Regions from separate parts of the Mus musculus genome. Here regions 1, 2, 3, 4, 6 and 7 are each reported to be linked to region 5. Evidence: microRNA targets listed by miRTarBase, many of them from high-throughput screens and not tested one by one. Region 5 holds a microRNA gene; each other region holds the end of a gene's coding sequence. Distances are from middle to middle.

Region 1 (4,300 bases), not on the chromosome of region 5:
AAACAAACAAAAAATTTTCAGAACCTTAGTTAGGCCTTGGCTGGGCAGACTCTCAACCAGTTCATCTAACTTCACCTGACCACCTAACCCCATCCAGCCACGTGGCTAGCTATACCTTCCAGGCCTATGATCATGTCTGTCTCCTCCCATGTTCCCTGGTGACATGAAAGGGCTTTTTTTTTCCTTCTTTGTCCTAGAGTTCCTTTCTCCCTCCCAGGAAGTCCCACCTTCCACTTTCTGCCCAGCTAATTGGCCATCAGATTTTTATTAAAGCCAATCAGAGAATGTCTTAGGCAGGTGAGGAAAGACAGAGACACATTTTTACATAGTATACCCCAACAAGTAGAGTCACTCTGAGAGTTGAAGCCATAGTGTCTTTTTAGGGGCTTTTATGGGGTACATTGGCTTCTAGGCAAGGAAGGGTCAAGTTCTGAGGGTCATACGCCTGAGTGATTGTGTCTCCACTTCCTTCGCAGATGCAATGCAAACGCCCAAAAGAAGAACACAAGAGGCCAGACAGCATATGACATCGCTCTGGAGATGGGAGATGACCTCACCTCTTCTCTCTTTGCCGCTAAGTTCACCCAAGGTCTGGAGGACCAACTTTCTCCACCTGGGAACCGCATCCTAGGTGACAGTTAGATCTGAGGGGTCAGGAGGCTGCAGAGACTGCCCAGCTACAGCTGGGCTTAGTTTGGAATGCGTATTTAAGTGTAAGAATTACGGTTGAAAAGAACTCATAAGACTGTGTGTGTGTGTGTGTGTGTGTGTGTGTGTGTGTGTGTGTGTGTGTATGAGAGAGAGAGAGAGAGAGAGAAGGGAGAGTATGTAAGGGAGGGAGAAGAGAGAGAGGAGTGTGTGTGTGTGTGTGTGTGTGTGTGTGTGTGTGTGTTTGTGTGTGAGAGAGAGAGATTGAGCCTTGCAGATGCTAAGGCAAGCATTGTACCACTGGGCTATATCCCCAGCTTTCTTCATTTTGAAATAAGATCTCATAAAGTTGCTCAAGCTGGCCTTGAACTCCCCCTATAGCATAGACAGGCCTTGAACAACGTGGGATCTTCCTGCCGCAGCCTCCGAAGTAGCTGAGATTACAGGTTGTGACAAACAAACACAGCTTTTTTTTTTTTAAGGTGGTATAACTACCCAATACCACCTATACCTTAGAGTATGATAAAATGAAAGTTTTGTGTTTTATTTTCTGTTTTGTTGTTTTGTTTTCCCTTTTTTTTTCTGAGACTATATAGACATGGCTGGCCTAGAAATTTGCTATGTAGACCAGGCTGGCCTTAAACACACAGGCTGTCTCTGCCTCCCAAATGCTGGCATTAAAGGCATGTGCCACCATGTCCAGATTTTTAAAAATATTTTATTGATAATTTTGAAATTTGGTTTTTGATTTTTTGTTCTTCTTTATTGTTGTTTTGAGACAGGGTCTCATGTGTCTTGTCCTTGAACTTGTTATGTGGCTGAGGATGACCTTGAACTTGTGATCCTGCCGCCTCCACCTTCTAAGTGCTGGGATTACAGACTTGTACCACATTGGATTTTATGTGGTACAGGGGATTGAACCCAAGGCTTCATGCATGCTAACCAAATACTCTACCAACTGAACTACATTCCCAGCCTGGTTATTAATTTATCTTTCCATAGATAATAACACTTGTGGTTTAAAGCCAAAAGTATAAAGTACTATATAATAAAGTTCTCATCCAGGTTCTTAAACCACTGTTTCATCCTTAGAACCAGCCATGTCTGTGTAGAGGTGGTACAACATTATATAATCACATATGTATATGTACACAAGGAGGATAACATAAAAGTACATAGCACGTATATATCCTTCCCTATAATATAGCTTAATTAAATAATTTGTAAGAATTCATAGCAGAACGGCTATGTCCTTTCCTTAGCAGAGAGCAGACAGTGTATCTGAAAAGTCTCTTCCCAGGATCCAGAATGGGATGAACCTGTCTTGTGCTCCCTCAAACTGGACTCAGCCCATCTCTGGGCTCTTCCCCCTCTGCCCAGCAGTATTCCCTGCCTGGTGGTGACCCCTCACCCACAGCAGACAGATGACTGGAAACAGTTCTACTTGCATGACAGCGTTACAGACTGGCTCTTTCTTTCCTACAAAGGATCAAAGAAATATGTTCCTAGGAATGGGTTTAATATGGATGTAACTTAGATTCTGCTAAGTCTGCTGAAAGCAAGACCACACTTGCTCAGCATGACATTCTGTTTCTTAGTGGCGGTTCCTCTTCCCCCAACTTGCTGTAATGTTCAGGACATCCATCAGGAAAGAGATCCACTGTCTATAAGAGACCTAGGAGGTCTCTTCCTACAGATATGTGGACATCTGGTTAGTGCTATTAGATGCTTCTGTGTCTGGTGTTTTGTTTTCTGCCATCTAGCAAAATGTCTAACACTCAGGCCCCTCCTTTGGAGAACATTCCACATTGTATGAGAAACTCTGGGCCTCCAGCATCTCTCTCTCTTCCTTTTACTTACAGAATAGTACATGTGAGTCCACTTGAAGAGAGGGGTAACTGCCACCTTGCCTGCCTCTCTGTGTAATGGGTGACACAGTTGGTCACAATCAGTGGCCCAATAGTAGTTATGATCCCACAGTCCTCAGAGCTACTTTTTCCAGAAGTCGCTCTACAAACCCTTGACCAATGTGAACCCCAAATACTCTGCCTGGTTATATGTTCTGTGTATTTCCCTTGAAAACCATGGAACTATTCCCACACAGATACACATACTGGCACACTTATAGAGTTGGCATAGAACAATCTTAGATACAGCATTTGGAAGCACAGACAGAAAGTGTCGAGAGAAGACAGAGAAATCAGACCAGCTAAAGATATTGGAATATTATGGTAATGGCATCACTATGGTTCTTAGTACATACAAAAGAGGGTATGTAGGCCAAAAATGTTAAGTGCAGTTGAGTAGAGAGAGGCTCTGTGACCGTGCTGGAGGAATTGATGGGATGGAGTGGTCATCTGATGGATGGACTTGCATGGCTCAAGGGAGGAGCAGCTGGTTAGCAGAATACTTCTCCAGACTGTTGTCTGTCTAGGACATTAGTGGAATCAGAGGACTATTGAGTTCTTAACTGATTGGTGGTGACAGCCCAACTAAAGGGACATTCTCTAGAGCCTACCTATGCTCTACCTATGCTGTTGATGTTAGGTAAATTCATAATAAAGTCCACTAGCTTATGCTGATGACAGTTTGACCTCATTCCCCTCATAACATACCTGAAGGCCTCGGTAAACTTCACAGGCTGATCCCTTTGTAATCTCCCAGAGTCCTCCATCTTTAGCAAAGTTGAATTTGTAAGGTTGAGACAAAAATCGTATTCTCCAGCAGGTACATTGTCTCCTGTGACTGCTAAAGCAAAGCTCTCCATTGTTTTTAATCTGTTACCATTTTGGCCCGGTCTGGATCTTTCTATCTTCAAGTCTCAATATCTATTGTAGGAACCCAGGAGGAGCTGTAGGGTTTTTTTGGTTGGGGTTTTTGGCCAGATGCAGTCTATAGGTTTGAATTAAGTTCAGGTTACCCAAAGTGTTGAGCCAAAATATTATCTACAAAACTGGGCCATCAAGTCTGAGAGTCTGAAAGCTGCCAAGACAATTCAGCTTCGAACACAGGCCTTCCACGTATTCTAGATTCATTGAATGTACATCTTTTTAAAGTGTAGGCAGCACGTAGGCCAGCTCACGTACCATGTACCATTAGGGCCCTGTGAGAAATGAAGCTGCACCTTCCTGCCTACCAGAGACATCCACGTGGCAGACAGCAAGGAGCTGGTGACCCCTTACCTAGTCTCAAGGTTAAGATGTTGAAACGGGATTTTTGGTTGTGTCTAATACTGTGAAATAACAATGTAAGTGGTCTGTTTCCCTTCGGTAAGCTTCTTCAGTGATGTGACCATGTGGGTTGTTTCTGTGTTACGTTCCTGACAGCCAAAGTCCTGAAGGTGCCTTTTCACGTTAAAGTGGTTTGATCTCTGAGTTGAGTTATGAGAAATAGGCGAGAATAGAGGAGTCCCAAGAGTAAAGCTTTAAGAAATGTGGGCTGCTGAGATGTCTTTTAGTGGTTGAAGGTGTGTCTTTGAAGAGGCTTGTGGGATCTCCTCATTCTCTTTTGCTTCCTGGTGATGAAGTGAATGGTTTTGTTCTGGTATGATGTAGTTAGTGCCTTGCCACAGGCTCAAAGGCATGGAACCAAATGATCACGGACTGGAAACTTCTAAGCTGTGAGCCAACACAAACCTTTCTGTTTGTAAGTT
Region 2 (4,300 bases), not on the chromosome of region 5:
AGGTGAGTTTAACAGTCCTTATAAATCAAGAGGTAGTGAAGTGAAACTGTTGGGGAGCATGGTACCCGTACCCGTGTGGACTGAGCATGACCTTATTAGGCAGAGCCACTTGACATGTGTGGGTGGGTAGGTATCTGATTAGAGATGCTCCTAGATGTTCAATTGCTTAGAGATGAGGATGTAGCTCAACTGACAACTGCTTGCCTGGCATGGGTAAGGTCCTGATTTCAATTACCAGTGTCAAAGAATTTGGTGAGGGATAGGTAAGGGGGAAAGTAGCAGAGTAAATGCTAAGTGTAGAGAAGGTGAGTAGTAAGTGAAAACTTTGCCCTTCTACCAAAATATCCCAGGGAATTACCTATATCCGTGAAAGGGCATATGTGTCCTCTACGAGGTGGATTGGCACAGTCTACCACATCTGACTTTTAGGCTACTTGATGATGTTATACTTTGGAGATGTAGGGAAATATTTGGGTATGGTTTTGCTATAATAAGTTTGTATGTATCTTTCTCTCTTAGGGATGTATTCTTGGCCTGGGTGGCCTCTAGAAATCCAAACTCTGTGGTGTTTGTGAAGTAGCCTTCGTCTTCTCCAAGCCTTGAAGATTCATCTGCTGAACACGAGTCCAAAAGCCTGTTTTTTTGTTTTGTTTTGTTGGTTTTCCAGACAGGGTTTCTCTATGTAGCCCTGGCTGTCCTGGAACTCATTTTGTAGACCAGGCTGGCCTCGAACTCAGAAATCCACCTGCTCTGCCTCCCAAGTGCTGGGATTAAAGGCGTGCGCCACCACCGCCCGGCCAAAAGCCTGTTTTTTAAACACAAACTGGGCTTCTGTAGTGCCTGACCTTTACCCATAGTCCTTCATGCCTCCATCTCCCTTTTCTTTCTTCAGCAGAGGCCAGACTATGTAGCAGGGCCAGCAAATTCACTGTAATTTAGAATTGCTTTTTACTCTCAACTGTAAGCAAAATTACCAGCTTACTAGCAAGCACAGGGAAGAGTGATGGGAGCAAATCATAGGGGTCATTAGAAGAAACATACCAGTAAAACGGTCAGACAACTTGCCTAGAATGTCATTGGGCGAGTGCTTTGCTTTGTTCTCGGCAGAAAAAGCTCTGGGAGAAGAGAGACTTAGGGTTTCAGCTCAGTGGTAAAGTGCACTGGGTTTAAATCCCAAGTGAAGGAGGAATGAAAATACTGATTTAAAATAAAATGTGTGATAGCCCTTTAAAAGGGAACTATTATTGATATACACAGTGCTATTAGGAGGAAGGTTTGAAGGCCTGGGGTTATGGCTTAGCACTATAAAGCTCTGAGTTCAGACCCCAGGCTGGAAGATCAGGAGTTCAAGGTCATCCTTGGCCCACTAGTGAGTTTGAGAACAGTCTAAGATGCATGAGGTAAAGGTTTTACAGAACATGGTGGCCCGTGCCTTTAATCCTAATACTTTGGAAGTAGACAGGAAGATTTTTGATCTGAACTTAAATCAGACTTTGTCTCAAAAAATAGACCGGGTGTGGTGGCACTCCCCTTTAATCCTACAACTTAGGAGGCAAGAGGCAGGTTGGATCTCTGAGCTTGAAGTTAGCCAGGATTACCTAGTGAGATCCTATCTTAAGGTCCCCCTCCCTGCTCCTGACAAAAACACACAAATTCTGTTTGTCTCAGTCTTAGCACATTGGGCTAGAGGGGAAACGACATCATCCAAAACGATCTTTTTCTGTACAAGTATTTCTTTACCTGACTTGGTTACCAGTTTTGCATGTAAGAAGCAGAACTCTATACCCCTAATAAGAGGTTTTACAAAGTAAAGAATCTGTGTTTGATGAAACATCTTTTAAATGTGCATTCATTTACATAATGCATAGGCCAATTTTTTATATTCTAAGCTCTAATTTTAATTGAAGGTACCTTGTTTTTCTTAGAAATTAGCTACAGACTAATAAACCAGCAAACGTACATAGAATAAGCAAAAGTTTAGAGTACCATATGCATGGTAAAATTCAAATTAATCCTGTTTATAGCATATTAATTGCTAAGCACTGTGAACCTGTGTAGTCTTTTCTAACACGCTAGGTAGCTAACATTCTTCTTTTACTTATAATGAATCACGCTAAATAAGAGTAGCACAAGGACACACACTAAGTGGAAAGCCATAATTTCACTTCAGAAATTCCAATTATAATACAAACTTTTATTTATTTATATACAGGGTAGGGGACACTATTGCGTAAACAGTCCTCTTAAGGTGTGGCCTGTAGCCCATGGCTCTGAACGCTTAGCTTTGTAAGGAAGTGCGTCTATAAATTCTTAGGTTTAGAGATGATGCCGTCCGGATACCTTTGCTTAAACCTGGCAACCACATCTGGGTCTAGTAGGTGTATCCCATCCAGTTGGTTTCCAAGAGTAATCCTAAAACAAGGGGGAAAGAAGAGGCAAACCAAAAATCCTGTAAGGGCTTAATACTTAAAATGTTCTACTTTCTGGTGATACCTATCTCAGGCTGTCCTGGAACTAACTCTCCATGTAGACCAGGCTAACCTTGAACTCAGAGATCTACTTGCCTCTGCCTCCCAAGTGCTGAGGCTAAAGGTGTGCTCTACTATGCCCAGTCCACGTCAATTTTTTTGGTTTGGTTTGGTTTGGTTTTTGAGACAGGGTTTCTTTGTATAGCCCCGGCTGACCTGGAACTCACTTTGTAGACCAGGCTGGCTTCAGAAATCCACCTGCCTATGCCTCCTGAGTGCTGGGATTAAAGGCATGCGCCACCACGCCCGGCCTACATCAACTTTTAAAAAGATCAGAGCAAATAATATGGCAGTGTCAATACAAAAACTGATTGGATTTTAATTTCTTTGGTGGTCCTAAGAGTTGAACCTAGGCACCTTACATATACACTCTTAAACTCTTAACACTACCAGCCCCCCTCCCCTTTTGAGACCTCTAAATAAGCATTGGCAGGCCTTAAGCTTGCAATCCTCCTGCTTCAGTCTCATGCCCCAAGATCCAGCCGGATCTGTCTATCTAAGGATTAGTAATTGATGGTAGCCAGGCCTACTTCATTCAGTCACTGCTAGTGAATAGTCCTTGGATAATTAAAATGCTCACCATTGGCATCAAACATTAAAACTGACAGATTGAATAAATACTTAGTAGCCACTAGGGGGCAGATTTAATATAGCCCACAGAATAGCTGACGATCCTTGGGCAGTTAGAGCTTTAAGAACAGCCCTTTGGGTTCTAATGAATGTTGTAGATTCTGGTAAAGCTTAAGCCATCTAGACTACCAGAATGTATACAACTCAGTGACATCTGTCTTTGTCCATAAAGGGTTTTTTGGGGGAGGGACGGGCAGGAGGTAGGGAGGCAAGAGCCTGTTCTCTTAATGTTACCAGTTGGGCTGCACATTGTGTGGTCGTCCAAATAACTCAATCTTGCGGGTGCCAGGGGACAGTCTCTCAATCATGCCATATATTTCATCTGGTTTATGACTGGTGGAACGAACCTAGAAAATAAAAACTCAAGCTACTTTAAGTTATTCAAGATTGCTTAATAGATAGAGAAATGGCTCACAGTTATGAGCACTGGTTGTTTTTCCAGAGGACCTGGCTTCAATTCCCAAGACCTACAGCTCATGACACCCTCAAAAAGACATACATGCAGGCAAAATACTGATACACATGAAATAAAAATAAATTTTTAAAAAGTTACTCAAGATTGCAATTCTAGTCTGGTCTGTGTTACCCAAATGAGGAAAAAAAAAAAAAAAAAATGGAGACTGACAGGAGTATTGAGTGAAAGTCTGAAAGCTTTAGATGCACAGGGGACACATACCTCAGCTACAATCACATCGCAGTCCAGGCCCTGGTTGAATCCTTGAGGATTTCCCTTAACACCAACCTGCTCATCACAGAGAACACTGTTTACACAACCACAGCCTTCAGTCTCCTAAGCAGCTCCCCCTCTTCCTCCTGTTCCTCACCAAGCAGTGTTCCTTCCCGTGGTTTAACCAGTGACCCGTCCGGCCCGTCCTAATGATGCGCTGCAGCTGATTAGTCTTCACCCAGATGATTTCATCCACCCGTTCATAACTGGAGCATAGGAGAGAACCTGAGCTTTAACCAGCTTCACAGCTGAGGCACAGCACAAGACACAAGGGCAGATTGGCAGGAACACTGAGAGAAGGGACTTGTCAAGTTACATTTCTCCTAAAAAAGGCAACATAATTTCTACTTACCCCCAGAGGTTCAGACATTCTCTGCCCAATTCCATGGCCCTAAAAAGATGGAAGGGGGCTGGT
Region 3 (4,300 bases), not on the chromosome of region 5:
GCATGACTGTAATTTCTTCTCTCATAGAGTGGAAGAGTTAAGGGGGAGGGTGTGTGTGTGAGTGTGTGTGACTGAACCCAGATCTTCATACCACCGAACCACCTCTCTAGATGAAAGAGAAAAGGCTTATTTATTTTAATTTTTAAAACATTTTAATTATGTATAGGTTTGTGTCTGATTGTGGATGTGCCTCTGAAGGCCAGAAGAGGGTATTGGTTGGATTGCCTAGATGCTAGAGTTACAGGCATTGTGAGTTAGCTGTCTAACAGAGGCGATCAAGAGCAATATACCCTCTTAACCAACTGTCCATGGCTCCAGCCCCAACAGACCAGTTTTGTTTTAGTTTTTATTGTTTTAAATTTGTATTAGCATTTTGATTGCTTCTGTTTATGTGTACTCCATGTGTGCTTGATGCCTGCAGAGGCCAGAAGAGGGCGCCAGATTCTTTGGAACTAGAGTTACAGGTGGTTGTTAGATGCCACATACTGCTGAAAAGCCAGTCTGGTCCTCTGGAAGAGCAGCCACGGTTCTTAACTGCTGAGTCATCTCTCTAGCCCCAAAGACAAAGGGCCGCATGCCTTTAATCCTTGAAGAAGCAGGGTGATCTCTGTGAGTGCAGAGCCAGTCCTATCTATACAAAGAGTTCTAGGGTAGCCCGAAGTACATAGTGACCCTGTCTGTGAGAGAGACAGAACAGAGGAGAGAGAGAGAGAGAGAGAGAGAGAGAGAGAGAGAGAGAGAGAGAGAGAGAGAGAGAGAGAGAGAGAGAGAGAGAGAGAGAGAGAGATTTGACCAGGACTCGTGTGTCGATTTGAAGGAAGCGAACTAACCTGTAAAGTGGGCTTACAGGGGAAAGGAGTGTGGCTAGATGTTTGGGAGGGGCCAGAAGAGGCGGAGGTTTTTTTTGGATGGGCTTTCTTGCATTGTACCGTAGCCAGAAAAAGAGAAGGCACGGTCAAGCAGAACTGAGCAGAACTCTAGTTCTGCTTTGATAAACGGGTTGTAGGGAAAGGGGAAATGCTAGAAAGAGGTAGGAGGTTACTGCCTAGTCTAGAACCGGGGTGGGGTGGGGGTGGGGGTGATCCAGAGCTCCGAAGTTAAGGAAAGACAAATAAATACCTTTTGGTATTTGTCCTCCAGCAAGAAGCGGAGCTCTCTCTTTCGGAAGATCACAAAGCAGTCGAACCTGCTGCACACCAGTCGATCGCTGTCCTCTTTGAACCGGTCCTTGTCGTCCAGCGACAGTCTTCCGGGCTCGCCCACGCACGGACTACCCGCACGCTCGCCCACACATAGCTATCGCTCTACACCTGACTCCGCCTACCTAGGTATGTTCTGCGCCTGCGCGGGGTAGGGGACTAGGACACTGAGGTGCTCAGAATGTTTGCACCTTCTCTGGCCTGCAGGCGCCTCGTCACAGAGTAGCTCGCCAGCTTCCAGCACGCCTAATTCCCCCGCCTCATCCGCCTCGCACCACATCAGGCCCAGCACCTTGCACGGGCTGTCACCGAAACTACACCGCCAGTACCGCTCAGCGCGCTGTAAATCGGCTGGCAACATCCCGCTGTCACCTCTAGCGCACACACCATCCCCGACGCAGGCGTCGCCGCCGCCGCTGCCAGGCCACACGGTGGGCAGCTCACATACCACGCAGAGCTTCCCTGCCAAACTACACTCATCGCCACCTGTCGTGCGCCCGCGCCCCAAAAGTGCAGAGCCACCACGCTCGCCGTTGCTCAAGCGCGTGCAGTCAGCGGAGAAACTAGGGGCTTCGCTGGGAGCAGACAAGAAGGGCGCACTGCGCAAACACAGCCTGGAAGTGGGACACCCTGATTTCCGAAAGGACTTCCATGGTGAGCTGGCCCTGCATAGCCTCGCTGAGTCTGATGGTGAGACGCCTCCTATTGAGGGTCCTGGGGCGACCCGGCAGGTCGCCGTGCGACGCCTGGGTCGCCAGGAATCACCCCTAAGCTTGGGCGCGGACCCGTTGCTACCCGATGGTGTCCAGAGACCTATGGCGTCAAGCAAGGAGGATTCCGCGGGAGGTACAGAGGCTTGCACCCCACCTCGCGCGACAACCCCTGGGAGCCGGACCCTGGAGCGTGACTCGGGTTGCACAAGGCACCAGAGCGTGCAGACTGAGGATGGCCCAGGTGGGGTGGCCAGGGCCCTGGCCAAGGCAGCGCTAAGTCCAGTGCAGGAACATGAGACAGGCCGGCGCAGTAGCTCTGGTGAGGCAGGCACACCCCCGGTGCCCATTGTTGTAGAGCCTGCTCGGCCAGGGGTCAAGACCCAGGCACCCCAGCCTCTGGGCACAGACTCCAAGGGATTGAAGGAACCTGTAGCCCAGATGCCTCTGATGCCTGATGCCCCAAGGGGCAGGGAGCGCTGGGTGCTAGAGGAGGTGGAAGAGCGGACCACGCTAAGCGGACTTCGCTCTAAGCCCGCCTCCCCCAAACTCTCTCCTGACCCCCAGACTCCAACCCTAGTCCCAACAAAGAATGTACCCCGCAGTGCAGCTCCTTCAGTCCCACCTGCTTCCCTCATGGTCCCAGGCACCAAGCCTGAAGCAGGGTTGAACTCCCGGTGTCCTGCTGAAGCTGTGACTCCTGCAGGCCTCACCAAAACTGGGGCACCTAGCCCTGCATCTCTAGGTCCATAGCGGAGCAGGCTTTCGGTGCTGTGCTGTACAGATGCCTGTATACATATGTACACATATAAATAAAGTGCCCATGCTGCCTGAGATTCTTGGGGTTCACACCTCCTCTCTGGACAGGAATGGCCCTTGGCTTCTCAGAAAGTAAGAAGGTGGCTTTCATTAGGGCCTTCCTATGTCCCATCCACTGCCAATTCCACACGTGGTAACAGCTTTTGTAAGGAAAAGGTGTCCCACCCCTGGTCTGTGTCTTGGGCTCCATCTTAAGAAAAAGGTTACCAGTGCCATGCACAGAGTTGGTTGTATTAACAACCTCTTAGAGACATGCTGTGATGCCCATTTTGCAACAGACAGCTAGAGGTTAAGGCACTGTTAAGGTCTCCAGTTAGGAAGGGACTGAACTGGTATTCAGATTCATAGCTGGGACAGGGAGTGTGGCTCAGCAGCACTGTACTTGTGTCCCATGTGGTAAGCCCTGGGTTTAACCCACCAACAGACACACAAACAAATTCAAGTCAAAACTAGTCTCTGAGTCTTTTCTTTCTTTCTTTCTTTTCTCTTTTTCTTGTTTTTCTTTTTTTTTCTTCTTCTTCTTTTCTTTGAGACAAGGGTTCTCTGTGTTGCCCTGGCTCTCCTGGAACTCTCTGTAGACCAGGCTGGCCTGGAACTCAAGAGATCCACCTGAGCCGGGCAGTGGTGGCGCATGCCTTTAATCCCAGCACTTGGGAGAAAGAGACAGAGGCAGAGGCAAGCAGATTTCTGAGTTCGAGGCCAGCCTGGTCTACAGAGTGAGTTCCAGGACAGCCAAGGCTACACAGAGAAACCCTGTCTCGAAAAACCAGAGAGAGAGAGAGAATCGATCCACCTGCCTCTGCCTCCCAAGTGCTGGGGTAAAGGCTAGTCCGGCCCCCACCTGGTTAGACTGCGGAGTCTTAGTCCTTTGCTCCGATGGGCTTCAGTCAGCTCCCCTCTATACAGGGTTTCCAGTCTTTCACCAGGGACTGGAAGGCCTTCCAAAAGGAAGGCAGTTGGGTGCATACTGTGCCGCCACCTCGGTGTGTCTCTGCTTTGTTCCTATTCATGTCACCCACACAGGCCCAGGGCCCTTGAGGGGCCACACACCATTTGGAGTGGTCCTCTGTGGCACTGAAAGTTAGTCTAGATGGGCCAGGGAATCCTGTCTGTGTCACATCCAGAACCTGATAGGCTCCAGAGCAGTTGGAGGGCAGGATGCCTGGAGAATTTTGCCAGAACTGGACCTGTAGGTTGGTGCCAAGGGCTTCTGCCAACCATCCGGAGTACAGGTCTGCAGGGGAAGGAAGGATGAGGTGAGGGCCACTGGTACATTCCTCGGTATGGCTTCCTGCTCGGCTCAAATGTCTACTTTTGGAATGACGTGAACCTAAGCAGCCCCTATTAACAGGTCAGGTCCCTCTTCAGGTCACACCTGCAGCCCTAACACTCAGAAGCTGGAACAAGAGGCTCTCAGATGGAGTCTAGCCTGGAATGTACAGAGAGGTCTTACACAAACACATAGGCTGGGCATGGAGACTCGAGCCTTTAAAGTCTGCGCTGAGACAGTAGAGGCAGATGGCTCTCTGAGAGTTCCAGACCAGCCAGGGATACACAGTGAGGGCCTGCCTC
Region 4 (4,278 bases), 24 Mb from region 5:
TTGCAGATCAAGGCCCGGAATGAGCTGGGAGTGTACCTGTGTAACCTGACCATTGCAGACCTGTTCTATATCTGTTCACTTCCCTTCTGGCTGCAGTACGTGCTTCAGCACGACGACTGGTCCCATGGTGACCTATCCTGCCAGGTGTGTGGCATCCTCCTCTATGAGAACATTTACATCAGCGTGGGCTTCCTCTGCTGCATCTCCATCGACCGCTACCTGGCTGTGGCCCACCCCTTCCGCTTCCACCAGTTCCGCACCCTGAAGGCAGCCGTGGGTGTCAGTGTGCTCATCTGGGCCAAGGAGCTGCTGACCAGCATCTACTTCCTCAATCACAAGGAGGTCATTGAGGACGAGGACCAGCACCGAGTCTGCTTTGAGCATTACCCTATCCAGGCCTGGCAGCGTAGCATCAACTACTACCGCTTCCTGGTGGGCTTTCTCTTCCCCATCTGCCTGCTGCTGGCCTCCTACCAGGGCATCCTGCGGGCTGTGCGCCGCAGCCACGGCACACAGAAGAGCCGCAAGGACCAGATTCAGCGGCTGGTGCTCAGCACCGTGGTCATCTTCCTGGCTTGCTTTCTACCCTACCACGTGCTGCTGCTGGTACGCAGCCTCTGGGAGAGAAACTGTGAGTTTGCCAAGAGCATCTTCAACGTCTATCACTTCTCCCTCCTCCTCACCAGCTTCAACTGTGTAGCTGACCCGGTGCTGTACTGCTTTGTCAGTGAGACCACTCACAGGGACCTAGCCCGCCTCCGAGGAGCCTGCCTAGCTGTCCTTACCTGCTCTAGGACAAGCAGGGCCAGGGAGGCCTACCCTCTGGGTGCCCCTGAGGCCTCTGGGAAAAGTGGGGCCCAGGGCGAGGAACCTGAATTGTTAACCAAGCTCCACTCAGCCTTCCAGACCCCTAGCTCACTGGGAGTGGGAGGGCCCTCCACAGTGGGGTTGGCCTAGCTTGAGTCACGTGTATGAGGCTAAGTTAGGCCCTGAGCTTTCACCAACAGGCCTTGTGGTCGGGAGCTTGCATGGTGGCTGTCTCCCACTTTACCATGTACGGGTGCCTCTCTCCTCAGGAAGGAACCATGGTTTGGGCCACAGCCAGGTCCCTCTGGCCCCTGGAAACCTGCTCCGTGTCCTGAGCCTGGGCACTGCTGACTGTGTGAATGAGCCCTGTCTCCTCCCATGTTCTTGGTGGCCGCCTGGGCTGCAGATGGGAGGGAGTCGGCATCGTCACTTCCAGGAGATTTGCAAAGAGCAGCAGGCCTGGGGTGCGGAGAGGAGGGTAGGACCCTGCGTGGTCACCTGCCAAGCCTTCCAGTGCCCCTGTTGTCACAGACGATACCAGCCCAAGTGTGCTATGGTCTTGTGTGACACAGGAAGCTATATAGCCACCATCAGTATTTGAGCTTGCCTCTAAACTAGTCTAGGCCAGAGGACTGGTTAAGGTGAAGAACAGGGGCGGGGTTGGTGGCTAGGGATAACAGCAGAGAGGCAGTCAGGGAAGAAACCCCAGCATCAGGCACGTCTCACTTTACAGAACTTATGGAACAGGGCCCCACCCCCAAGGGCTGATGGCAAAGAAACCCCAGGGATGCCGGAGAGATGTCAGGGGCCCTCAAAACATCGTACTAAAGCTTAATAAGAAGACTTAGGCCTAAAACTGCGTCCTTAGCCAAGTTCCTGGCACACAGGGTTTCTCTGTGTAGCCCTGGCTGTCTTGGAACTCACTCTGTAGACCAGGCTGGCTTCGAACTCAGAAATCCGCCTGCCTCTGCCTCCCAAGTGTTAGGATTAAAGGCGTGCGCCACCACTGCCCAGCCCTAATTAGCTTTTTGTGTCCGTCTAGTCTAAGTGTCAGACCTGAGAGCCTAAGGGAGAAGAAAGAGGGAGAATATAAAAAAAATGGCAGGGTGTCCATGGCAACTGTATGCCAAGACATTGATACTAACTAGGATCATGTATCTGTTGTCAGTAATTCCTACCCTTCTCCCCATGCACCATAGAGCATCCAGCAGCTTTTGAGAGGAGTGTGACAGTGACAGTTTCCCAGAGTTCCTAAGTGCAATGAACTAACCACACACACACACACACACACACACACACACAATCATGTCTCGTGACCACAGGTTTGGCTTAAGCTGCATTTTGGTATAGGAGAGTTGGCAGAGATGGCTGCATGCCAGAAAGACCTACACCTTCCCCAGCCTCGGTCCTTACAGGCCAATGGTGATAGCTAAGTGTTCTGTGCCTCCTCATCCCACAGTATTTCCCCTGTTTGACCTGAAATTCTGGATTCTCACTGGCTTGGACTGGAGCAAGCTAAGCCCAGCTCCCCTTACTAAGGAGTGCTGTATTTTTGTATTGTTTTCTCTCTTATGCCAAGTATCCCTGTGTTGGACTGTGAGGTGGGTTTATGTAGTGACTTCAGTCAGCAAATAAAACAAAGTAGCCAATCATAGCAGAGTGTGTGCAGTCCTTATAGGCAGAGACTCCACCCACACCAGGAAGATCAGGTGTGTCCTTGAAAGACCCCAAATAGAAAGATCCAAGGGCAAGATGGGGGTTGCATTTGAGTGCCTAACAAGTGGTTAAGCCCAAGCCACAAGGACAGTAGAGTTTTCTCTTCTGCCTCATGGCAAAGCCCATGAATCCGTGCAGCATGGCAAAGCCCATACATCCATGCAGCATGTTGCAAAGCTACCCTGGATGCATCTGTGCAGGTGGTGTTGTAGATTCACCCTGGGACTTTTAAGGACAACACCCAGCCCTGTGGTTTAGCGAACAAGACTCCCTCTGTCTTTGACCACATGGGACTCTGCATATTGAGTATCTCCCCAACCCCGACCCCCCCTGACCCCTCCCCCCCCCCCCCCGCAAGGGTGAGCCCCCATCAGACCAGAAGAAGAGCCTGTTTCACTCATCTCTGGCATTTCCCCAGAACCAACTGGTTTTGCTTGCAGCCGCCCACCTTGCTTGTTGACAACCTCTGTCTGCCGGGGCATCCTCTCACCAGCATCAGACTCCGTGTTTATCACTAAGGATCGCCCACATCCTATTGAAGCATAAATTTGATTTTGACCACTTAATCCCTCTATGGATCAGGCTCCTGGAGTTTTGGAGTGTTATGGAAGAATAGCTCTTTCTTCCAAACAGACTAAGCAAGAATATTATTAAGGATTAATCCTGCTTTCTCTCCTAAGAGAAGGACTGGGAGCAAACGTCCATCTGGTTTGGACTGAAGGTGACAGAAGCCATTAAAATTCCTTTTTTACTCCCCAGTGTTGCTTAGTAATACAAGGACTCATCTTCCTGTTTACACAGGACTGTGGGTTGGCCCGAAGAGAGTAGGAGAGAGCCTCAGCACAGAGCACATCTCCATCTGCTGCTTCCCACCAGCTTGTGTTCTAGAGAAAGCCAGAAGCTGAACCAACTGCTTTATGCATCTAGGGATGGAGTCTCCATTCCTGGAATTCATCTGGTCTCAGTGTCCAGGGCTCTGGTGGGAATGGGAAGATCTCAATTCCATTCTCTCTCAGTTAGCAGCTATCTTAGGAATACCACTCTATGAGATATTCGCTGTCTGTGCTGGAGTATTCCAGAGAGGTCACAATACCCAAACTCCTCACTGCAAAGAACCTTGTCTGGGTCCCTCAGTCCAGTCTCTCCACAGACACTAGTAGTGGCAACTAAGTCACTACTGTGCAGACAAGCCATTCCAGGGGTATCTTAAATTCTAAGCACCCCAATGAAGAATCACTTTATTATCTGCTGTCTCTGATGTGATGTAACCCTCTGGGGACTGTTGTTTGAAGACACTTCTCAATGATAATTCTTCCAACTCAGATTAGCAAAACTGGATTCAATTAGAGCAACAAGCAAGTCACATCACAATGCTGTAAAACAAGGGGGGGGGGCAAGGGAATATCTCATGGTTAGCCCGGGGGTCAATCCCTAGCCCCAAATCATAGTGAAAATGACAAACATAAGTGGCTGATACACGTTTATTTTACGTTTCTAAGATGTCCAATGAAAAGGGTCTAAGATGAAGGCTTAATTGGGAAAGTGCTTTCTGTGTAAGCATGGAAATTGAGTTCAATTTCTAGAACCCACATTTGAAAAAATAAAGAAAGCCAACACTCAGGAGACAGAGGCAGATGAATCTTTGTGAGTTTGAGGCCAACCTGGTCTACATAGTAATTCCAGGATAGTCAGAGCTACATAGTGAGTCTCAAATAACAACAAACTAAAAAACACCCCTCAAAAACAAACAACAAC
Region 5 (4,300 bases):
TGCCTGGCAATTTTATTTTCAGTCCTAGTCACAGAACCTCATACATGTAACTGAAGCAATCTGCCACCGGGCTTGCAACCCCTAGACCTTCACTCTTCTAATACAGAAAAGTTTGATACTGTGAAGTTTATCATCTTTTTCCCCCCTTTTGTTGTATGTGACACACTTTTTCTTGTTTTCTGTGGTGCTGGGCTTCAAACTCAGAGCCCTGTCCACGCTAGGCTCTGCTAAAACGCAACTTGCAACCCTGAAAGCACAGATTTCTGAGTGTAGTAGGGTCACCTTTGAGAAGGATTTCTTCCATGTTTGGGGATGAAGTTCTGTCAGCAGCAGCAAGCCATGGCCCCTCCTCACAGCCCGGGATCACAGCCCCAGGGGATCTCTTGCCTGTGTTTACATCCCTCCCTTTCCTGATGTTCACAGTGGAGCAGCAGAAATGACAATTGTGAAAACTCAATGGCCTTGGCGTCTGGGATTTGAAGCTTTCATGCGAGGCTTGGTAGCAGGCGGTCAGAGGCAAGGGATGAGAAACTGCATTGGTTCCCTGTGAGTCATCTTGACTCTGGTTGTTTGGTTTTCTCATCCATAAACTAGGGAGAACACCTCCATTCTCCCTTCCAAGTGGAGGGGCTGAGATGATGAATTAATTTGTATTTGTTAGACACCCTGAGACCTCAGATTAAAGGCATTACTGAGACTCAAGGTGTTATTATAATAATAAATGATTTAATAGCAGGGCGAGGCCGCTCGCTGAAGCAAGAGCTGGTGGGAAGGCAGAAAGGCTCAACGCTGAGAAGGGGGCTGCGGCTCGGCTTGAGACCCTGGTCCTGACACTGACTCTTGGAGGCTTGGAGGTAGGAAACTGATTTTTTATAAAATCTTGCTTGTTTCATCTGGCTCCAGCATGGCCTTATTGAATGCTTCTTACAAGTTCTGCATAGTAAGATTACAATCTTTTCAGGAAATGGGCATATAAATTAAAGCAATTAGAAACAACTCGAGGCTTTAGAATCAAGTTCAGAATGGACTAACAAGTGTCTAGAAGGAAGTGGAGAAAGAGCTGGCTGGCTAAATGCAGTTTTCCCTGTGGGTAGAAACTCCCAGCTCTACCACCCACTAGCAGTATGACCAAGCCTCAGTTTCTCCTGTAACCGCAATTGTTCTTGTAAAATGCTCAAAGGTTAACACAGTAAGCACTCCAGTGTCGCCCCCTCAGACTACGCCCCTTGATGCAATTGATCTTGGCCAGACTGCTCCATCCTTAGAGCCTCAGTATTCTTCCTGCAAAATGGGAGTAAGTGTATTCCTGCCTTAGTGATTATAAAGTGCAGTGCACTTGGTAGCACCATTCCCTAACCATTACTATCATCAACATTTTATTTTTCTTTTCTAGCTAAGGAGCCAGTCATACATTCAAAAGTTTTAAATCTCTGGATTGGGGCTGGGGGACGTCTTTGGAAGTTGGGAGTTTAAGATTAGTAGGAAAGGACTGGTAAGATTTAACAGATTAGAGAAGAAACCAGAAACCCAGAAAGTTCGAGGTGGGAAGGAGTGGGGCTTCTCCCTTTCCCATCCCACCCCGTAGTTTTATCTCTCTCCCCCGTTCCCGGGTAATCTTGTTTCTCACCAGTGCTGTCCTCTAGTCTGCCGCTCTTCAAGCCTAACCTGTGGACTAAGTAACGTGAGCCTTACTTTCTGGCCCTCCCGCAGTCAGGAGCAAGGACTACTTTAATCTTTACTCTTCCCAGGGATCCCGTTTCAAAGTCACCTGAAAGCCATTTCCTCTCTCTCTGCCCCGCCCCTCCCCGTAAATCACTAGGTGCTTGCTTTTCCCTGGGGCAGCTTTTTTTTTTTTTTTTTTTGAGGGCAGTGGTGGAGGAGGGGATTTTATAAGCTATTTAGGATTTTCACTTGTCTACACTTGGCGGTCTAAATGCTGAGTTACTGGGGTCGATTCTCCATTCCTGTTCCAAGAACCTGGTGCCATCGTTTAACGCAGGAGTCCTACTTCTTCTGTGATCTCACACTGGGCTCCCATCTCCTACCCCTCTTCATGGTGCGTACTGGGGACAGCATCTAATGCTACCTCCCCTAAGATCTTTACCAATGAAAGATTTATTCTTAGTGAGGTGTAGTAGCGCACACCTATAATTCTAGCACTCTGGGGGATCACTCAAGAGTTCTGGGCTAGCTTGGGCTACAAAGTGTGGGCCTGTTTCAAATCAAAAAATAAAATAAAAACAATAATTAGGGCGTGGTGGTGCACACCAGTAATCCCAGCACTCCGGAGATAGAGGGTGGAGAACCATTACTCTCAAGATTACCCTCTGCCAGTCTCAGATAATTGAAATCCTGCTTCAAAAACAAAAACCACACAAAAGATTTATGTTCTTGCTCAAAATCTAACTGGTTTGTATTCTATGTGCTTGTGCTAATCATCCCCCAATTTTCCCATCCCCTAATTTCCCGGTACATGCCTTTTGTTGATAGATCGCACTCAAAATGGGGTCCACTGACATTCAGGTTCCTCGATCAGTTTTTCTCATTAACAGTCCCACTGAGCGCCGCGCCCCGCCCCGCCCCAAGTTATGCGCTTCTTATCTCTTTCTCCTCAGAAGGTAAGATTTTACAACTGTAAAGAGCCACCGAAACCTAGTTTCGGCGAGGAATTCGAGACGTGCCTTTCTGACTCAGCGGTCGTGGTGACCTGCTCCAGTAGGACCAGGACGCCCTTGCCACCTAGACCTGCGCTTCTCCTGGGAAAGTCTAGGTGGCTGGGCTCCGAGTCCTCTCTGGTCGGAACCTGGTCTGGAGGCTTTCGTTGCCCTCTCGGCGTGATATCAGGGCGGTGGCACTAGAGTAACCCCACCACGTGCGCCTTGGGATCCCAGAGTTCCAGGTGGCAAGGGGAGGCGGCCAGCGGGACCCACACGGCGGGCCACGCGCGTTAATCATTAGCCACGGCGGCCGCTGTCTACAGCGGGAGCCACAGCTCGCTCGCACCGCCGCGAAGGTTCCCCCGGGCCCCCCAGAGCCGCCAATTGCTGGATCGCAGCCGCGAGCGCAGTCTCCACCCACTGGAAACATTCCTGGTCCGCCCCTCCCTGGCTCCCTCCCTCTCCCTCTCTCTCTCCCTCCCTCCCTCCCGCCGCAGCCTGGACTCCGGCCGCAACTTCCTGCCCGGTGCTGGGGAACCGTGCGCATTTCGGGGGTCCCCCGGCGTCTGGTGCTCGCAGCGAGCAGAGGCTGGGACCGCGGGGCGGCCAGCCGTGGGCGGGAGCGGCCGGCGGCCTCTGCCGCTTCCGAGAGCGACTTTCAAACTCGAGCCCGCTTCGCGGCGCCACCTGGGCAGCCCCGCGCGCCTGGCGCGTCGCGAGCCGGCGGGGCGGCCACCGCTTGGTGAGTGTCCCTAGGTTTGCCTTTCTCTCTTTGCCCATGCTCGATTGGCTGAGTGGCAGCGCTCTGCGGAGACCCCAGGCTAGCCCTCTGTGGGATGAGGACCTGGCCCCGAGCTGCCTCGGACACACTCGGAGGAGGTTGGGTCGCGGGAAGGTCGTAAGGGGAGTCACTTTTTATCCCCACCCCGGAAACCAAAGCAGCATAGGCTTTGCAGAGTTTGAAATCCGGGCAGCTCTCGACATTCCCGCCACCCCTTCCTTGTGTGCCCTGACGCCCGTGGGCTAGTGCTTGCCTGAGACTGTGGGCTCTTCTAGAAGGACTCGCCTCTGGTCCCGCCAGCCCAGGAGTGCGCAGGCACTCAGTCTGTTCTGGGTTGGTGCCACACCGTGCTTCTGGGAATCTCAGCTGCATGTCCAGGAGGATTAGAGTGGGTGTCAGAAGCCAAGTGTCCAGGAGCTGCAAATCTAGAGCCCCTTGATGCTGCCCCTAACAGCCTCTCCTTCACTCCCTTCAACTGGTTTGGTTATTCACACCCTTCTCTCAGACCTTTGATTTGGGAAGCTTCAAGCTTCAGTCGTTCAAGATGCTCCTTTGGTGGTAACGATTTATTCTGCGGCTACTTTTGAAAACAAAGGGGGGAAAAAAAAACCGGAACAAGCCGCATGATGGTTGGAGGGTGGAGAAAGCGGCGCTGCGAGGTGGTGCTAAAAGTTGGGTGAGAGTATATCGTCTAGAGTCGCTAAACTCTTGGTAGATTAAGGGCTGTTAAGATTGTTAACCCTCCCAGCAACCGATCAGTACTAGAGCACCTTACAGAGAACCCTAGTCTTAGGGTTCCCAGTCTTCCAAACTGTGCTTGTTCAAGAGTGCATTCCAGTCACAATGAACCCTTCAGAAATAA
Region 6 (4,300 bases), not on the chromosome of region 5:
GCTTGCTGAAGGTGATCTGGGGAGGTGGCTGAGGGTAAAGTGCTTGCCACCCAACAATACAGGCCTGAGTTCAGCTGTGGTAGCCATGCTTAAGATAGGCACTTAGAGGCAAAGGCAGGAAGGTCACAGGAACTGTGGGACCTTCCTGGTCTACACAACCAGTCTGAGGCCTTGGGGTCTGCTTAGCAATGTCCCATCTCGATATCAAATACCAATCCTTAGTATTATACCTGTCCTATAGAATATCATTTTAGAAAACAATAAAGGACAATTCCTGTAAAGCACCAAAAGTGGGGTAAGCATCTCCCTGCTCTCAGCCGTGACTCCACAGTCGCCTGTGGCCCTCGCTGGCAGCAGTGCACTGGCTGTGCCTCCACACGGGCGACTTTGTTCTCACTCTGCTCTGCCCCCTTTCCGCTTGGTTCCAGGTCAAGTCTGGATGATTACTGTCCTCCGGAACAAGTTGACATGATTCAGGGAAAGGTCCTCGATGTGCTGCACTCACTCTACGGGACCCTGGACACTCACCTGGTGTACTCAGAAGAGTCCCCTCTGAGCTGAGACCGTGCTAGGCTGCTGTGCAGTTTGGCGCAGTGACAGACCCGGCTTTTGTTTCTGGGCTTCCAGAGTGCACTTTCTTGTTAACTCTCAGTTGGAATCAGAAATCTCCACGCAAGTATCAGTGACCAACCACATACAACACTTGGGGTAGACGCAGGGGTTCTTGTTTGGTTTTATTGTTTTCACATCAAATCCGTTACCCCGGTTGATGGAGACTGTCTGTTATCTTCCTTGCTTCCCATCGCTGCCTTTGATTCTGTAAGAGGGGTTTTTTTTTTTTCTCTTTCCCCAACAAGGGTTTGGATGATATGAGATTTATTTATTTATTCGCTGATGTTTACTTAGCACTTTTGAGAGCCAGACTCTGTTAAAGACAAGCTGCTCTGTCCTCGTGTGGGAGACCTGAGAAGCAAATAAGGGCCCACAGCAGTCTCAGGGAAAAGGGAGAGCCACGGCTGCGTCTGGAGAACTGTCGGCTCTCAGGGCACCCTTGACCATAAGTATAAAGTAACATTCGCAGATGGCATGTCAGAAGACCCTTGCCAGTCCATGACGGTGCTTGCAGAAAGTCTGCCGCGCTAAGCGTGTTGGAATTGTGCCCACGCGGTTGCTGGATCTTCTCCAGACTTGTTTGTATGCAAGGGGTCTGGTTGAATACACCTAAGCAAAATTTTGTTGTTGTTGTAGGTTTTGTTTGGGTTGTTTGTTTCTTTTTGGTTGGTTGGTTGGTTTGGTTTGGTTTGGGGTTTTTGTTTGTTTTTTGGTTTTTTTTTGAGACAGGGTTTCTCTGTGTAGCCCTGGCTGTCCTGGAACTCACTCTGTAGACCAGGCTGGCCTCGAACTCAGAAATCTGCCTGCCTCTGCCTCCCAAATGCTGGGATTAAAGATGTACGCCACCATGCCCGGCCGTTTGTTTTTGATGGGTTGGTTTTGATTTTCTGAGATGACGGGGTTTCTCTATGTATCCCTGATAGCCCTGGAACTCGGTCTGTAGCCCAGTCTGACCTCAAACTCAAAAGATCCGCCTGCCTCTGCCTCCCAAGTGCTGGGATTACAGGCGTGCACCACCACTGCCCAGCTGCTTACAGTGGAAACGCCTTTTGGGAGTTTTGCCTTGGTGGTCATTATAGTCCTCAGTTGGCATTAAGCATTTAAGCACTAGGTGTCATTTTCTTGGCAGTCAGTCAATCAGTCGAGTGGTTAGAAAGTTGCTAAGCAGATAAGGGCACTTGCTGCTCTTGCAGAAGGCTGGAGTTCAGTTCCTAGTACCCATATGGCAGCCCACAACCTCACAACTCCAGTGTTCTCTTGTGGCCTCCAAAACTACACACGCATGCGTGTACATACCCACATGTAAACATATAAACATAAAGTTTTTATTGGAAAGACCTGTCACTGCATAGAGAAGAGAATGTTTTCTGCGCCGTGCATTGAAGATGATGCTTCATATATTTAATGAGCCAAGTTTGCCCTTAGCCAGAGAGTGGCTGCAGCCACTACTATTTACCCTGAGTTCCCACCCCACCAGGCGTGAATGGGACCGTCTTTATCCTAGAAGCTAATTTCTGCTTGCCTGTTCCCTGCACTTTTGTTCAGTAATTACTTTATAACTGCTTAATTTCTTTAAAGGGTAAGATGATATGTAAAGAAAAAATAAATATCCATCACTCCTGGCGAGCACAGTAGCTTTTGTCTTCACAGCCCGTTTTCAACCCTCGCCTGCACGTGGGCCTGGAGAGGGGAGTAGCCAGGATCAGAGTGACCTACCTCGAAGCGGCCAGTTCTCCAGGATGCCTTACCCTTGCCCTGCGGTGCGTACTCTTCCTACCGTGCTCATGTTTTCCTCTGGCGAATTCTCTTGGCACTGAGGAAATTGACAAAAATCCAATACTATGAAAGCTTGTTTGTATTGTGGAAATAAAACCAACTGATAGCCTTCCATCCTGATAATCAAAAGATTTGTGTTCTTCCAAACTCAGAACTGTAAAATTGTTTTTAAGCTCTGAAAATGTCTTGTTAAAGAGTTCTATAACTAGACATTTCTAGGAATAAATTAGTCTATGTGCAAAATGAAATTAAATCCTGTATTTGGAAGCTTTAAGGGTTTCAGGTCAAACTATAGAACTAATTCTTCTTCGTGTCAGTGCATGGACTTAATTGAGTTTTAGCTGTTTTGGTTTTGGTTTTTTATTGTTGATGGGTTACTGTAACTGCAGTGGACTCTGATGTGAGTCATCATTTTTTAAACCTGGGTTGGATAAAACTTTTTAAATTACTAAATAAAATAAGCATCTACTAACATTTTTAATTTTTTATTATTTTAGTGTGTTGCATGTATATGTGTGTACCACATGGCTTTAGTGTCCATGGAAGCCAGAGAAGGTGTCCAATCCCCTGGACTTGGAGCCAGTACTCTTAACTGCTCTGCCATCTTTTCAACTCCCTAAGATTTAACTTTTATTTAAAAATTTTTACATACAATGTATTTTGTATAATTCCTCCCAGATCCCCCCTTCCTACTCCATGGTCTATCTCTCAAAAACAAAAAAGGAAAGAGGAAAAAAAAAGGTCAAAAAAGGTACCAAAAGTCACACACAAAAAACACAAGAGTATTTTGTGTAGGCCAACTGCCCCTTTCATGGTACTTGCCACTAGAATTGTCGACATGCCCAGTAGCGCTCCTCTGGAGAAAACTCATTAAACTCATTGCCCCTTTCCCAGAAAATACCAATTATAGATAGCTTTTTAGTAGCAGGTAGGGCTTTCTTCCTACTTTCTCTTCTCAGTGCTGGGATTTTGTCTGCTTTTAACCTTTGCGGGTCTTGTGCGTGCTGCCACAGTCTCTGTAGTTCGCATGCCCGTCGGTCTTCTCTCTTTGGTGTCATCCACCACTCTCACCATCTTCCCACCTCCTCTTCCACGTAGATCCGTAAGTCTTGAGGGCAGGGGGTAATGGAGACGTTCCACTGAGGGCTGTGCGCCGAGGTCTCCAGCTCTGCCCATTGCTCAGTTATGGGTTTCTGAATTAATTACGACAAAGCAGCATCTCTGATGAGGGGTGGACAATACTCTGATCTATGCGTATAGCAGTGTGTCGTTAGGAGTCATTTCATTGCTCTGTACCATTGGCAAGATTCTAGTAGGTTTTCCCCTTAGCCCTATGACCAATTTAGTCCCAGGTATCTTGCCACTTGAGCAGTGCCAAGCATATCTTCCATCTTAACAAAGTCTTCAATCCAATCGTAACGCTTGCACCACTGTTGAAACCGTGTTTGTAAGTTGTAGGGTTTGTAGCCAGGTGATGCCAGTGACCACTTTACTCCTCCAACATGCAAAGTACCTTCCAGCACTGTGGACAGTAGTCAGCAGGGATGAGACTTCTGGCTGGGCACCAGCGCAGGCCAGTTCTGCTTCTGCCTTCCGTGTGTTCAGGCACTGTAGCTCAGCTGCCTGGCATGAAAGCATAAGCAGGTTTGTCCAGGCTTATCCAGGCCGGGTGGGTTTGCAGGAACACGCTTGTCTTGAATGCCGGGGGTGGGGGGGGCGATGGTGGGGGGGTTGTTTTTGTGGAGGAAGAAGCCTTCTCTGAGAGTTTTCAGTGTTACCGCTTCTTTATTAGGGGGTTAATAAGGGCTATATAAACCTTGGGGAGTGGGTAGCAGGTTGGGATGTAAATTATTAACTGGTGCTGCGGTGCTGGGAACGCTTCATTTGCATGAAGAGGAATTCCAGGTGCTTG
Region 7 (4,300 bases), not on the chromosome of region 5:
AGTTCGAGGCCAGCCTGGTCTACAAAGTGAGCTCCAGGACAGCCAGGGCTATACAGAGAAACCCTGTCTCGAAAAAAAAAAAAAAAAAAAAAAAAAAAGAATCGACAAGTGGGACCTCATAAAATTGCAAAGCTTCTGTAAGGCAAAGGACACTGACAAAAGGACAAAACAATACCAACAGATTGGGAAAAGATCTTTACCAATCCTACATCCGATAGAGGGCTAATATCCAATATATACAAAGAACTCAAGAAGTTAGACTCCAGAGAACCAAATAACCCTATTAAAAAATGGGGTAGAGAGCTAAACAAAGAATTTTCAACTGAGGAATATCAAATGGCCAAGAAGCACCTAAAGAAATGTTCAACATCCTTAGTCATTGGTGAATTACAAATCAAAACCACCCTGAGATTCCATTTCACACCAGTCAGAATGGCTAAAATTAAAAACTCTGTTGACAGCAGATGTTGGTGAGGATGTGGAGAAAGAGGAACACTCCTCCATTGCTGGTGGGAATACAAGCTCGTACAACCACTCTGGAAATCAGTTTGGCCGGTCCTCAGAAAATTGGACATAGTATTACCTGAGGACCCAGCTATGCTACTCCTGGGCATATACCCAGAAGATGCTCCAACTGGTAAGAAGGACACATGCTCCACTATGTTCATAGCAGCCTTATTTCTAATAGCCAGAAGCTGGAAAGAACCCAGATGCCCCTCAACAGAGGAATGGATACAGAAAACGTGGTGCATTTCCACAACAGAGTACTGCACAGCTATTAAAAACGATGAATTCATGAAATTCTTAGGCAAATGGATGGATCTGGAGGATATCATCCTGAGTGAGGTAACCCAATCACAAAAGAACACACACAATATGTACTCACTGATAAGTGGATACTAGCCCCAAAGCTCCAAATAACCAGGATACAATTCACAGACCACATGAAGCTCAATAAGAAGGACGAGCAAAGTGTGGGTGCTTCTGTCCTTCTTAGAAGGAGAACAAAATACTCACTGGAGCAAATATGGAGATAAAGTGTAGAGCAGAGACTGAATGAAAGGCCACCCATAGATTGTCCCACCTCGGAATTCATGCCGTACAGCGTTACCAAACCAGACACTGTTGTGGGTGCCAAGAAGTACATGCTGAAAGGAGCCTGATATGGCTGTCTCTTGAGAGGCCCTGCCAGAGCCTTACAAATACAGAGGTGGATGTTAGCAGCCAACCACTGGACTGAGCTCGGGGTCCCTAATAGAGGAGTTAGAGAAGGGACTGAAGGCATTGAAGGGGTTTGCAACCCCAATAGGAAGAATAATATCAACTAACCAGACTCCCCCCAACCCCCCACTGCCCCAGAACTCCCAGGGACTATGCCATCAACCAAGAAGTACACATAGCTCAAGCTGCATATGTTGCAGAGGATGGCTTTGTCATGGATCAATGGAAGGAGAGGTCTTTGGTCCTATGATGGCTTGATAAATAACCCAGTGTAGGGGAATCAAGGGCAGGGAAGTGGGAGTGGGTGGGTGGGTGAACACCCTCATAGAAGCAGGGGAGGGGGGATGGGATAGGGGGCTTCTGGGAGGGGGGTAAATCAGGAAAGGGGATAACATTTGAAATGTAAATAAAGAAAATATCCAATAGTAAAAAAAGAAAAAAAAGGATGTATTTATTATTTTATATATGAATACACTGTAGCTATCTTCAGACACACCAGAAGGGGGCATCAGATCCTATTACAGATGGTTGTGAGCCACCATGTGGTTGCTGGGAATTGAACTCAGGACCTCTGGAAGAGTGGTCAGTGTTCTTAACCACTGAGCCATCTCTCCAGCCCGTGGTGTTTCTTTTTTTCAAAAAGGTTTGACTTCTCTGTGTACAACTGTCTTTGCTTACATGTCTTTGCTTACATGGCCTTGTGCACCCCTGGAGTCTGAGGCAACCAGAAGCACTCTGTGGGTGCTGGGGACAGAGCTCAGATCCCAGACAAGAGCAACCTGTGCTCTACCCGCTGAGCCAGCTCTTCAGGCCTGTGTGCATGGCATTCCTTAAGAACATGTGCCTGCACAGGAAACCCCGGTCACACCAAAAGCAGGCGGTGTGCCGTGAAAAGGGTCATGGAGGCTGTCTTGAAGTGTGCAGGTAGAACTGCTCGCCCAGAAGGCCAGGCTCAGGTGAAGCCCCCTCCTTACCCGCTGCTGCAACCGATAGCTGCTTTGGGCTTCACCCTGAAGACCTGTGTCACAGTTGTTGAGAGATGAAAGAGTGCCAACTAACAACTTCCCGCTAGCATCTGGGCCTTCCTTGGCCACGTCCTCGGAGGTCTTGTTTCTTCACAGGCTGTCCTGGCAGAAGGAGCTTTTCCGCCGTGAACAGGGCTGGGCCGTGCTGGGTAGAATTATTAAAGCGTGGCACCAGATTTGAGTTGTGTGGCCATTTTTCTGGGTATCAGCGTGATTGCAGACCGCGATGACCATGCCCTCTACAGAGGAGCTGGAGTCCTTCAAGTACAGGAACCTGCAACATTTAGCCAAAAGGCTGGGTCTCCGGGCTCCCCTGTGGGCAGACAAGCTGTTCAGAGCCTTGAAAGCACACCCGAACCCAGAAACCGGGCAAGAAAATAAAACTCAGGATGAAAATCAATCTGCATTCTCTCTCTGTTGAGGAGACTGAGATACAAGGTAGTAGTGAGGAGCAAGCTGTCTACCCCAGTCAAAAGCTCTTTTCTATCAAAACTTTCAGACGTAATTTGTGTAGTGTCTCTTGTGTGCTATATCTGAGAATATGTTATCACCTAAAAGTTAAAAAAAACAAAACAAAACAAAAAAACCAAGATTGATTACAAAGGCGCAGTGCAGCGAGCAACAAGCTCGATTGGGGCAGGGCTATGACTCCTCTCTCTTCCTTTTTGGCCTGCAACTGAGTCTGCCCTGGAGCCACCAGCACTGCTGGATGTCCTGCCTACCGAAGATGCTCATGGAGCATTCATCTAAGGTCACTTATAGGCGCCTGCAGGCAGCACTGTGCCGTCGAAGCTGTTCCCTCACCCCAGGACCCAACACTTTGTTTTTTAAGTACCTGGAGCTGGGAAGGGACCTGAATAGTGCCGGACAGAGGACAGGGTTCGGCCTGGTTTTATAAGTACCACGGGAAGGCTACAGAGAGCAGCACAGGGCCTTCACACAAACACTGACTGGACACGGTCTTCTTTCACCATCAGGTTCACTAGCTTCTCTCTTACTGAATGGTTCATGCCTGCTTTTTGTCCCTGGCATTTTCTAGTTCTGCAAGTACTAGAGTACAACGGGCACACCCAGGCCACACTGAGATCTTAAACAACGCCAGCTCCTCCAGTTAGTGTCCCCTTTCTCCATGGTTTCAGTGACTTCTGGTCAGAAGCCACGGCTGTGGTGAGGTATGGGTTAGGAAGCGCGGCTGTAGACAATGGTACCTGTGACACACTGAGGGGCTACGGCAGGATTAAAAATCGGAATGTTCTAAATGTCACCTAGAGGACAAACACCGAGACAGAACCACCAGATGCCTGACATCAGTGAGCCTCATCTGTGGCACAAACAGCACCCAGGGCTTCCAGCTGGCAGCAGAAGCTGGCAGCCACTTCAGATAAGTCTGTCTCCTCCACACGGCCCCCAGCCTGGGCCGAGCACCTGTCAGCAGAGAAGAGCTGGCTCTGTCCTCAGGGCTGGGCTCTGAAGATATTTTTCATTTCCCAGGAAGCAGGTCCCGTCTTCCAAGGTCCCAGGAGGGCTAGGCACGCTGCATGGCCCCCCGCAGGGAGCTTTGGAGAGCACAGCTTGGCCGCTCTCGGTGCCCACACTCTCCTCCTCTTCGTTGGAATAGTTGCCCGAGTCCTGGCTGGTCTGTGAGCTGTACTTCCTGAGGTCCTCCTCAGGCGCGTGCTTTACTTCTACAGCGACCGTGTCTGTATTCTCAATGATGAAGCATCTTTCCGTGTGCTCCTCAGCCGTCAGAAGTACAAGGTTTTTTGAAGGCGGCTCAGAGAAAAACTGATGGTAAAAGGGAAGGAAAACAGGTTGTTTAAAATAAACCCTGCATCTCCAGCTCTAGCTTCTGTTTTATGTCCAGCCTTTCGGAGTGTGCATCACGACATATGAGCTATCCCGGGAATGACTGTGAGGCTCAGAAGGCACAGCAGGCCACCGGGCTCAAGGCCATTTTTGGGTAAACCTGTGAAGAATCCTCACACAGGCACTGTGCTGCCAAGGGTGGGTTAGGGGTGCTGGGATCACAGACATTTTGAAGTGACAGCCCAGTT

Evidence for each region. The annotated mature microRNA mmu-miR-5135 reads AGGUCUAGGUGGCAAGGGCGUCCU and lies in region 5 at 2,724-2,747, opposite strand. An mRNA with a match to its seed (bases 2 to 7 or 8) in the 3' UTR can be bound and repressed. Matches are read on the target gene's strand: a 7mer-m8 pairs with bases 2 to 8, a 7mer-A1 pairs with bases 2 to 7 and ends in A, and an 8mer does both.
Region 1: the mRNA of Dzank1 is a reported target of mmu-miR-5135. Seed matches in the 3' UTR shown: 7mer-A1 at 1,272-1,278.
Region 2: miRTarBase lists Tox4 as a target of mmu-miR-5135. Seed matches in the 3' UTR shown: 7mer-A1 at 713-719, 7mer-A1 at 2,528-2,534 and 7mer-A1 at 2,700-2,706.
Region 3: the mRNA of Dnase2a is a reported target of mmu-miR-5135. Seed matches in the 3' UTR shown: 7mer-A1 at 3,434-3,440.
Region 4: the mRNA of Gpr68 is a reported target of mmu-miR-5135. Seed matches in the 3' UTR shown: 7mer-A1 at 1,736-1,742.
Region 6: miRTarBase lists 6030458C11Rik as a target of mmu-miR-5135. Seed matches in the 3' UTR shown: 7mer-A1 at 1,383-1,389.
Region 7: miRTarBase lists Ifnar1 as a target of mmu-miR-5135. Seed matches in the 3' UTR shown: 7mer-A1 at 16-22.

What each region holds. Positions count from the first base shown.
Region 1 is chr2:144,471,266-144,475,565 of GRCm38, reverse strand. Dzank1 (double zinc ribbon and ankyrin repeat domains 1) reads left to right here. Exons shown (of 21, transcript NM_172859.3): 21 at 477-4,300. The coding sequence ends at 642. Among named protein-coding and RNA genes, the nearest start is that of Gm46768, 53 kb to the right of the region's middle.
Region 2 is chr14:52,292,682-52,296,981 of GRCm38, forward strand. Tox4 (TOX high mobility group box family member 4) reads left to right here. Exons shown (of 10, transcript NM_023434.3): 9 at 1-2; 10 at 520-2,828. The coding sequence ends at 580. Mettl3 (methyltransferase like 3) reads right to left here. Exons shown (of 11, transcript NM_019721.2): 7 at 4,238-4,276; 8 at 3,983-4,091; 9 at 3,835-3,900; 10 at 3,393-3,505; 11 at 2,160-2,412. The coding sequence ends at 2,301. Among named protein-coding and RNA genes, the nearest start is that of Mettl3, 10 kb to the right of the region's middle.
Region 3 is chr8:84,910,348-84,914,647 of GRCm38, reverse strand. Dnase2a (deoxyribonuclease II alpha) reads right to left here. Exons shown (of 6, transcript NM_010062.4): 6 at 2,945-3,962. The coding sequence ends at 3,616. Mast1 (microtubule associated serine/threonine kinase 1) reads left to right here. Exons shown (of 26, transcript NM_019945.2): 25 at 1,141-1,328; 26 at 1,407-2,795. The coding sequence ends at 2,662. Gm38426 (predicted gene, 38426) reads right to left here and starts at 1,313. Exons shown (of 3, transcript NR_103491.1): 1 at 1,120-1,313.
Region 4 is chr12:100,874,865-100,879,142 of GRCm38, reverse strand. It overlaps Gpr68 (G protein-coupled receptor 68), which reads left to right. Exons shown (of 3, transcript NM_001177674.2): 3 at 1-2,461. The coding sequence ends at 957. Among named protein-coding and RNA genes, the nearest start is that of Gm36572, 17 kb to the left of the region's middle.
Region 5 is chr12:76,530,420-76,534,719 of GRCm38, forward strand. It overlaps Mir5135 (microRNA 5135), which reads right to left and starts at 2,793; the gene lies at 2,715-2,793. It overlaps Plekhg3 (pleckstrin homology domain containing, family G (with RhoGef domain) member 3), which reads left to right and starts at 3,141. Exons shown (of 19, transcript NM_153804.4): 1 at 3,141-3,399.
Region 6 is chr15:12,806,973-12,811,272 of GRCm38, reverse strand. It overlaps 6030458C11Rik (RIKEN cDNA 6030458C11 gene), which reads left to right. Exons shown (of 9, transcript NM_029998.3): 9 at 429-3,096. The coding sequence ends at 561. Among named protein-coding and RNA genes, the nearest start is that of Gm41274, 11 kb to the right of the region's middle.
Region 7 is chr16:91,504,786-91,509,085 of GRCm38, reverse strand. It overlaps Ifnar1 (interferon (alpha and beta) receptor 1), which reads right to left. Exons shown (of 11, transcript NM_010508.2): 11 at 1-4,031. The coding sequence ends at 3,675. Among named protein-coding and RNA genes, the nearest start is that of Mir6367, 21 kb to the left of the region's middle.